2 linked regions of the Danio rerio genome follow. The protein of the gene in region 1 interacts with the protein of each later gene in a biochemical or structural test. Links are inferred from orthologs where the notes say so. Each region holds a gene or a part of one and is shown on either strand. Other genes may lie near its edges.

Region 1 (3,473 bases):
AATGCTGTTTAAACAATTAAAAACTGCTTTTATTCTAACAAATAAGACTTTCTCTAGAAGAACAAATATTATCAGACATACTATGAACATTTCCTCAATATGTTCAACATCATCTGGGAAATATTTAAAAAAAAAAAGTGAAAAGGGGGCGAATAATTCTGACTTCAAGTGTATGTATGTGTGTATGTAAGTGTGTGTGTATGTATATGTGAATGTGTGCGTGTGTGTGTTTGTGTGTGTATGTATATGTGTATGTGTGCGTGTGTGTGTGTGTGTGTGTGTGTATATGAATGTGTATGTGTGCGTGTGTGTGTATGTATGTGTATGTGTGTATGTATATGCGCATGTGTGCGTGTGTGTGTGTGTGTGTATTCTTATTGAACTTCACAGCCACAAACCTAAAACACAAATTGTAATAAAATAAAAAAGTAATAAAACTGGGCGAGTATTAGATACTTAGAATAAGAATCAGATATGTGTTCTACAATGTAAATTTATATTCCTCTTGTCTGATTCCTGCACATTTATCACTCGCTACTCTGCCAGGAACTTCTGTGCTGGCAAACACCTTCAACAATAATCCAAACATTTGTGTAGAGATGGACCGCAGGATGTGTTTAAAAGTGGCTGCATGTGATAAAGACCGATGGCAAAGATAAGTCTAATTATTGTAATAAACTAATATGTTATAAAAGCAGGTGACACACATGGCGAGGCATTTGCGGTCGGTTCACATACTTCATGAACATTGATTTAAAAGAACACACCACGTTAGTTTCATTGGGCACAAGTGTTGTGCATTTTAGTTTAACTTGAGCGTGCTGAGCAGTTCAGTGTTACTTTTTAGTTAAATAAAGGCTTAATTTATGTGTGTTTAATGTGCTTTTAATCATTTTATTCTATTCAAAGCAGCATTCACAGACTCTTTATCCTTGAAATCGTGGCATGAGATGAGCGGAGCATGTGTTGGATGTTGTTTTTTTGTTTTTGCGCAACCAATTTCTGTTCATTTGCATAATGTTTTAAATCAAGCAAGTTTTTGCTAGCAATCAGAGGAGAAATGAACAGAAAACTCCACTGAACTTCCCTAAACACAGTCAGATTGCAGAAACACTGATCTCGACTGATCTGAGTCCTCATGTTCAAGTGGATCCAGAGTTCTGATACTCACAGACACGGCGTACAGGTTGTACTTCTTCAGGTTGTTTTTGGGTCCGATGACGTACTGCGACAGGTCCAGATTATCCAGAGGGAAATCCACCAGCGTCTGCAGCTTCTCCCGCCAGCGGCCCTCATATTTAAACCTGAGAAACACACACACACACACACACATTGTGAACATGATGTTTTCTGACACACTGAAGCAGAGGAGAGAGCAGACACTCACCGCTTCAGGTGCACCAGTAATATGGGCGGCAGCTTCCAGATCTGCATCCTCTTGATGGCGTCGCGGTGGGTCTTACAGTGGCGGCAGTAGAAGCGGTTACCGTCAGTCAGACGCTCTTCTTTATGAAACAGTTTCAGACAGTCCTGTGCACACACACGCACACACACACACACACTGGACGATCAGCAGAATGATTTTTGCTGATGACTGAATACTGACATCACAGTCAAACAAATATCTACAGATGAGGGTAATGAAGCTGCAGTGAACGTCATCCTCCAAACTAGAATATTTTAGTTAGCTCAACTTTTGAAAGAGGGAAACGAGTGTGTGTGTGTGTGACCTGCAGAGAGCACTTGCTGCTGGCCGTCATCTCCAGCGTCAGGTACATGAAGGTCTCGAAGGTGCGTGATTTGTGCTGGCAGCTCATGCACTGAACCGTGGACTTGAACTGGCCCTGAAACAGAGCCACGATGATGGACTCGTTCAGCTGCTTGTGTTTGGACCAGGCCAGATCCGCCGCGCTCACGTCGTCCAGATGCTCGATCTCCTCCTCCTTATAGCCCCTGCGCTTGTCCGCCTGATGAAGACAAGCAGAGCGAGAGTGTGTCGGTTAGTTTACATTAAATTGATTGTGTGGCAAGGCATCATGGTGGCGCAGTGGGTAGCACAATCGCCTCAAAGCAAGAAGGTCTCTGGTTTGAGTCTCGGCTGGGTCAGTTGGTGTTTCTGTGTGGAGTTTGCATGTTCTCCCAGTGTTGGCGTGGGTTTCCTCCGGGTGCTCCGGTTTCCCCCACAGTCTAAACACATATATAGGGAATAGGGGAATTGAACTAAAGTGTGTGTGTGTGTAATGGGTGTTTCCCAGTACTGGTGGCTGTGGCGACCACTGATAAATAAAGGGACTAAGCCGAAAAGGAAATGAATGGATGATGGTCTGTCTAGTGTGTTTGGTGTGTTCCTCTCATTGGGTTAACAGAGGACCACATTCATTCATCAGAGTGTTCTGATTGGCTATTCAGCAACCAATCAGAGTGCGAGAACAAAATATGAAGCGACGCCTTTTTTTGGCTGTAAACGGACATACAGCAGGACTGTGTGTGTGTGTGTGTGTGTGTGTGACCTTGTTGAGATCCTCATGCAGGCCGTCCATCAGGAAGAGCAGCAGCTCCTGAGAGTCCTGGTGCTCGTAGCTGGAGAAGCGGCTGTTGATCTTACAGATGGTGCCCTTAAAGTCCAGCGGGCTGATCATCTTATACTGACCCAACCACAGCGCCTTCATCACCACGCTGAACTCCTCCGCCACCTCGCCCTTATGACCCAGGATATTCGCCCTGAAACCAGCACGCAAGGTAAACCATTACACACACACTGGCTCTGCCCTAGATCGACAGTGAATGCGAGTGTTTGTTGGGCTGTGGTGAATGTGGTACCGGTTAATGTCGTCCTGATAGTAGTTCCTGTTGAAGTAGTCCGCCATGGCCACGGTGTTGCACAGGCACTGCAGGATGGAGTTCATGTAGCAGGTGTTCCCCAGGTTGCGGAGGCCCGTCAGCAGCGGCCCCTGGCCTCCAAACACTGGGTTCAGGTTGCGGATCTTTGCTGCAGACGGACGCGTGATCTCCACCTTCGCATATGTGCTGGCAGCTAGAGGCCTGCGACACACACACACACACACACTTTTAGCACGGCACATTCATGGAGAAAACACTGCACAGTAACACACTTGTTTATAAAGTGATCATCATATAATAACGATAATGTGATTATTCATGTAGATCTCAATCATTTACTGATATTATTAGATGTACATTACAGAAGGTCATGCTATTATAATCTTGTGAGTGTGTGTGTGTGTGTGAGTGTGTATACTTGTTCTCTCTGTTGATGCTGGGCACTGCAGCGGGTCTCTGTCTGGTCTCTGCGCTGAGCTCCTGGCTGATGTCTGGAGAGGAGTATGAGCGCTTGAGTTTGGACTGTTCTCTCTCTCGGTCCCGCTGCCGCTGCTTCTCCGTCTCCGTGTCTGCTGCCGGCTGCGCGGGCGGTGTGTGTTTGGCTGGCGTCTGCGGTGTGCTGACTTCAGGAG
Region 2 (4,827 bases), on another chromosome or scaffold:
AATATGGAGGCGGTTTGACGGTATCAAAATTTGGATACCGCCCAAGCCTAGCCGATACCCAATCCAGCAAAAATATGCAAGTGGTGCTCGCTGCAGAGCCATTTGAGGAGAGCTGAGCTCCAGCGAGGGGGAGCTTAAGCTTGAGCTCCACCTTTTTTGCACTTCTTCTGCGAGTGATGTCACTGGGGGTAGGGTTAGGGGTGGGGTTGGTGTACGCATTAAAACAGCTTACAGGAGGAGGAGCGACAGCTCATGCTCCCCCTCGCTGGAGCTCAGCTCTCCTCAAATGGCTCTTTATCGAACCGATATCTGATCCAAATATCAGGATCGGTGCATCCCTATATACTAGTGACATTAAGGTAACTACCTGGTAATAAAATTAGAATTTAGAAAAACTATTCATATATTGTTTGCGTGTTGATTTTTCAGCTCACCCATTTGGAGCTGTCCCGACACGGTCACAGATATCCATAATGAGGCCCCAGTCCTCCACTGTGTTGGTTTCACTAGTTGCTTTCTCTGAAAATACAAATGAGCATTCAAATGAGACTCTTAACGCAAGGTCATTCTAGAACCATATCAAAAAAACTGATAAGTGTTTGACAAACGTCTAAACCAGCAGGAGGAAATGTCTTCTCATTTACCATAAATGCTGTTAACAAAACACTAAAAAACTAAAACTAATAAAAACCACAATTTTAAAAAGAAAATCTTTTAGTTTTAGTTATCAGTTTTGCATCCCTGAGTTCGAAGGATAGGTTTATTGAAAATAAGATATGCATACCGTTAAGCAGTGACAGCCTGTTTTGCCTGTTATTTTACATTTACAGCTTGTCACAACAGGCACAACAGTTTCTGTCATAATCCACCAGCAGAAATTATTTGCCCCCTCCTTTAAGAACAAAGCAACTGGGCACATTTTTATGACTAATTCTTACTCGTAACAACGACGTCTTGAATTGCAACATCTAGAAAAGTACATATTCATGAATAAATAAATAAAATGAACAATAATAATATGCCTTAATTTCCTCCATAAAGGAACATACAGTTTCACACGTTTATATAAACTGAATTCTAAAAGGACAAAGCTTTGAAAATAAAACCAAAGATCATGCTATTGTGTGCTGTTAGGTTCCACGCCTTTTGACAACTGAGCTCCTATTAATCTTCCACCCATTCATGCTTACAAGAAATAAAAAATATAAATAAATCAAATAAAACATAAAATAAAACGTTTTTTTTTTTAAATCAGAAACTTTTAAAACAGGACATTTTGATCATAAGTATCAGCATAGTAATACATTATTATTTGTTATAATTACATTGTTTTAATTACAGTTATTTGTTATTATTTTATACTAAATTATATGAAACAATATTTTAATATAACATACAGAATAAATACCTGAATCTTAAGCTTACTAGAAATTAAAAATAAATATAAATAAATAAAATAAAACATAAAATAAAAACGTTTTTTAATTAAAAATGAACGTTTTGATCTTAAAATCAGCATGAATTATTATTAAAAATACACAATTATGTTTTATTATATTATTTTTAACTAGATTAATTTATTATTTTACACTAAATAATAATAAATAATATTATCGTAAACATCCAGAATAATAAAATCAAAGCATATAAAGAAAGTATTATTACAACTATTATTATTATTAAATTATTAAATATTAATAAATTATTATTATTAAATTATTATTACTTTTTTATATGACTTATTGGAGCATTAAAGAATTTTCATATTTCGTACTGAAGACCCTGCCACAAAAATATATATTTAAAAAATATTTTTGTCAGTAATCAAGCAATAAAATAAATTTAAAAACAATTTCAATATAATTTGAATCAAGGAGACATCCAAAAACAAAAAAACTTATGGTTTTGGTGTAGTTGTTTAAGGTTCCCTGTTTGGGCTTTTACTAACTTTACTTCATTGCCGTAGACTTCTATCAGTATGTTTTCGAATATCTTAATCTATTTGTTTATTACTATTCTTTTAATTATTTACTTTGAGCTGGCCTAATAGTAATAATAATTATAATATAATATATATATATATATATATATATATATATATATATATATATATATATATATATATATATATATATATACGTGTGTGTGTGTGTGTGTGTGTGTGTGTGTGTATTAAAATAAGCTTCTCCTGCTCACTAAGGCTGCCTTTATTTTTTGCCTTTATTACAGGACAAACTGTACAATTGTAAAATGGTATTGCACTATAAAATAACTGTTCAAAAGTACTTTATAATTTAATTTATTCATTAATTCCAGTGATTTTAAAGATGCTTTTTCAGCTTCATTACTTCAGAGTCACATGAGAAATCTCTCTAATATTAATTATTATGATTATTATTTTTTTATAATTAATGAAAAAAGTAATAAAAGCATTAATGAACGGAGTAATAATTTCATTTGAAACTACATACAATATTAACTAAAAAAATGAAGAATTTAATAAAAACTGACCTCAAACACTTGACCGGTACATATATATATGTGTGTGTGTGTGTGTGTATATATTTATAATTATCATTTGTTTTAGTATGTCTTTGTCGTTTATTCTTCAGTTTTTTATTCTTATTGTCACTATTATTGTTGTTGCCCTTATTACAAATATTAATATTATTCAAAAACCTGTATTCCTATATTTTGATTATTAAATGTATTTTCTTATGCACACTGCTATGCTGTCATCTACGTCATGTTTATTGTGTTGACATAATTCAAAATAAAAGAAATTTTGATGGAAAAAAGAATAATTTCAGCATTTAGTGTTCATCTAAAAAGTTCTTGAAATTCAAAACAACATCCCAAAGACACTGTCAGTTATCTATTTTACATTTGACAGCTTTAATAGTTAGATTTTGATAAATAAGTTATGAATGACCGATAAACAAAACAATAACAGAGCTCTTGAGGATCTTGCAGTGAACGGAGCGCTGCTGGATCGGCCCTTAGTTACTGACTTGTCAAGACCACATCACTTCGACAAAAACAACACTGCCAAACTCACCCACATCCTGATCGAACGGGTTTTGACCAAACAACGGCATTTTGTAACCTTTTCCTATGTGTCAAAGAAAAAAACTGAAGCGTATTATCTACGTAGATCGACGATTTATCCTTCTCTCATCCATTAAATTGCGTTCACTTCCACCAGTTGCTCTTCCGTAAACTTAGTAGACGAGCGCAATGCCTGCCAGAAAATACATCCAGGAAACTGTCAACATATTCTACATTTAAAGCAGCATGTTCACAAATTATATTAATACTCAAAATTTAACCAGTAAATTATTATACTTGTGCATATTTAAAAATATATATGTTTATATTTCAGACAGGCGCATAGGTTGAGTCAGAAGTGCGCTCTGACTTCAAGACTCGCACTGCCATCTAGCGGCTAGTTTAGATGTTTCTAGAACATCATAATTCACTTTAAATAATCTCAATATATTCACATACATTACTGTAATCATATTATTTTAGTTGTATTTGATGTAAATGCTTGCGAAAAAGACGACGCTAGTCTGTAACTGAAAAAACAAAGCATTGTTTACACTCTGTCCTCACCAGAGGGCGCTGGATTCATAAGCAGCTTTTTTACATGTCAGCAAGGCCACACGCCTTTATCCACCGGGACCATTGGATGATCCAGTCTTTCTAATGATAGTTCAGTCATGTCGGCACCTGCCATGGGGACCAGCAAAACAGCGCACAGTGAGTCCGGTCACAAGAAGAAAAAGGGCCCCGGAACACTGGCCACAGCATATCTGGTCATTTACAACGTGATTATGACAGCAGGGTATGGTGGAAATCAAATGCGCTTCCGTGCTTCTCTCTTCAAGCGTGTGTGTGTGTGTGTGTGTGTGTGACAGCAGAAATGAATGGTTGGATTTCTTCAGCCTGTATGACAGAATCGCGGTCACCTCCCCCATTGAGTCTATATTGTATTATTTAACACTGTTTAATTTGAAAGCTGAAACATTTCAACAAAGTTATTCTGCACATGTCTGCTGTGCAATCCAAATGCGGTGTAACGTAAAGCCTATTATCGCTTATTTAACTCGCCGTAGGGTTGGTGATGGGTGACAGCGAGCATTGGTTGTTGTTGCATGAATGCATTGTTCTTGTTTTACAGTCGCTGGTTTGTTTGGGCAGCGTTGTAACAGGGCTTGTAGTGAATTTAGTGTCTTTGTTAGTTTGAATGTAGCCTTGTATAGTTTGTAGACATTAGACTAGGCAGTGAATTAAGCGCACCTTAGACCTAGTAACCCAGAAACTGTTGCACAATAATGTCCGTTTCAGGAACTAATCGATTCGATTCGAGACAGCCGATTCGTTTCTAAATCACTCATCGTTGTTTTTTACATGAGCATATGTAATGTAAAGCTTATTTAGCAAATTCATGGCGAATGTGAAGCATTGGATATACTTTGTGACTATACTTTGCCTTAAATAAAAAAAAAAAAATAATGGATTTCTATTAATAAAATTATCCAAATCATTTGTTAAAATCACTTCTTTTAGTTTTTATTTGACCAGATTCTGTTGCATTATAATGATTTTATACAGCCGATTTATTTCTAAATCACTCATGTTTCTTTGACATGAGCATAATGTAAATATTGATAAACCTTACATTTTGAGCACTTTTATTGCGAATGTGAAGCATAAAACCTACTTCCTGAGTATGTTTTGCCTTAAATAAATCGAAAAAACATAATTAATTTTAATAAAATTATCCAAATTATTTATTAAAATCACTTTTTTTTTTTTTTTAGT

The links. The genes of interacting proteins can lie anywhere in the genome.
Region 2: the proteins of usp8 (region 1) and stam2 form a complex in vitro, tested with the Homo sapiens proteins (3 studies listed by BioGRID, with this or other methods). The link is inferred for Danio rerio from reciprocal best matches to the Homo sapiens genes USP8 and STAM2.

What each region holds. Positions count from the first base shown.
Region 1 is NC_133193.1:226,591-230,063, reverse strand, and holds part of usp8 (ubiquitin carboxyl-terminal hydrolase 8), read right to left. Parts: coding exon 3,260-3,473; intron 3,043-3,259; coding exon 2,821-3,042; intron 2,722-2,820; coding exon 2,511-2,721; intron 1,968-2,510; coding exon 1,731-1,967; intron 1,531-1,730; coding exon 1,388-1,530; intron 1,305-1,387; coding exon 1,172-1,304; intron 1-1,171. UniProt on the Homo sapiens protein: Hydrolase that can remove conjugated ubiquitin from proteins and therefore plays an important regulatory role at the level of protein turnover by preventing degradation. Converts both 'Lys-48' an 'Lys-63'-linked ubiquitin chains.
Region 2 is NC_133184.1:39,754,498-39,759,324, reverse strand, and holds the start of stam2 (signal transducing adapter molecule 2), read right to left. Parts: upstream 3,224-4,827; 5' UTR 3,099-3,223; coding exon 3,059-3,098; intron 520-3,058; coding exon 435-519; intron 1-434. Other genes in the region: hacd2 (very-long-chain (3R)-3-hydroxyacyl-CoA dehydratase 2), read left to right, coding at 3,723-3,847.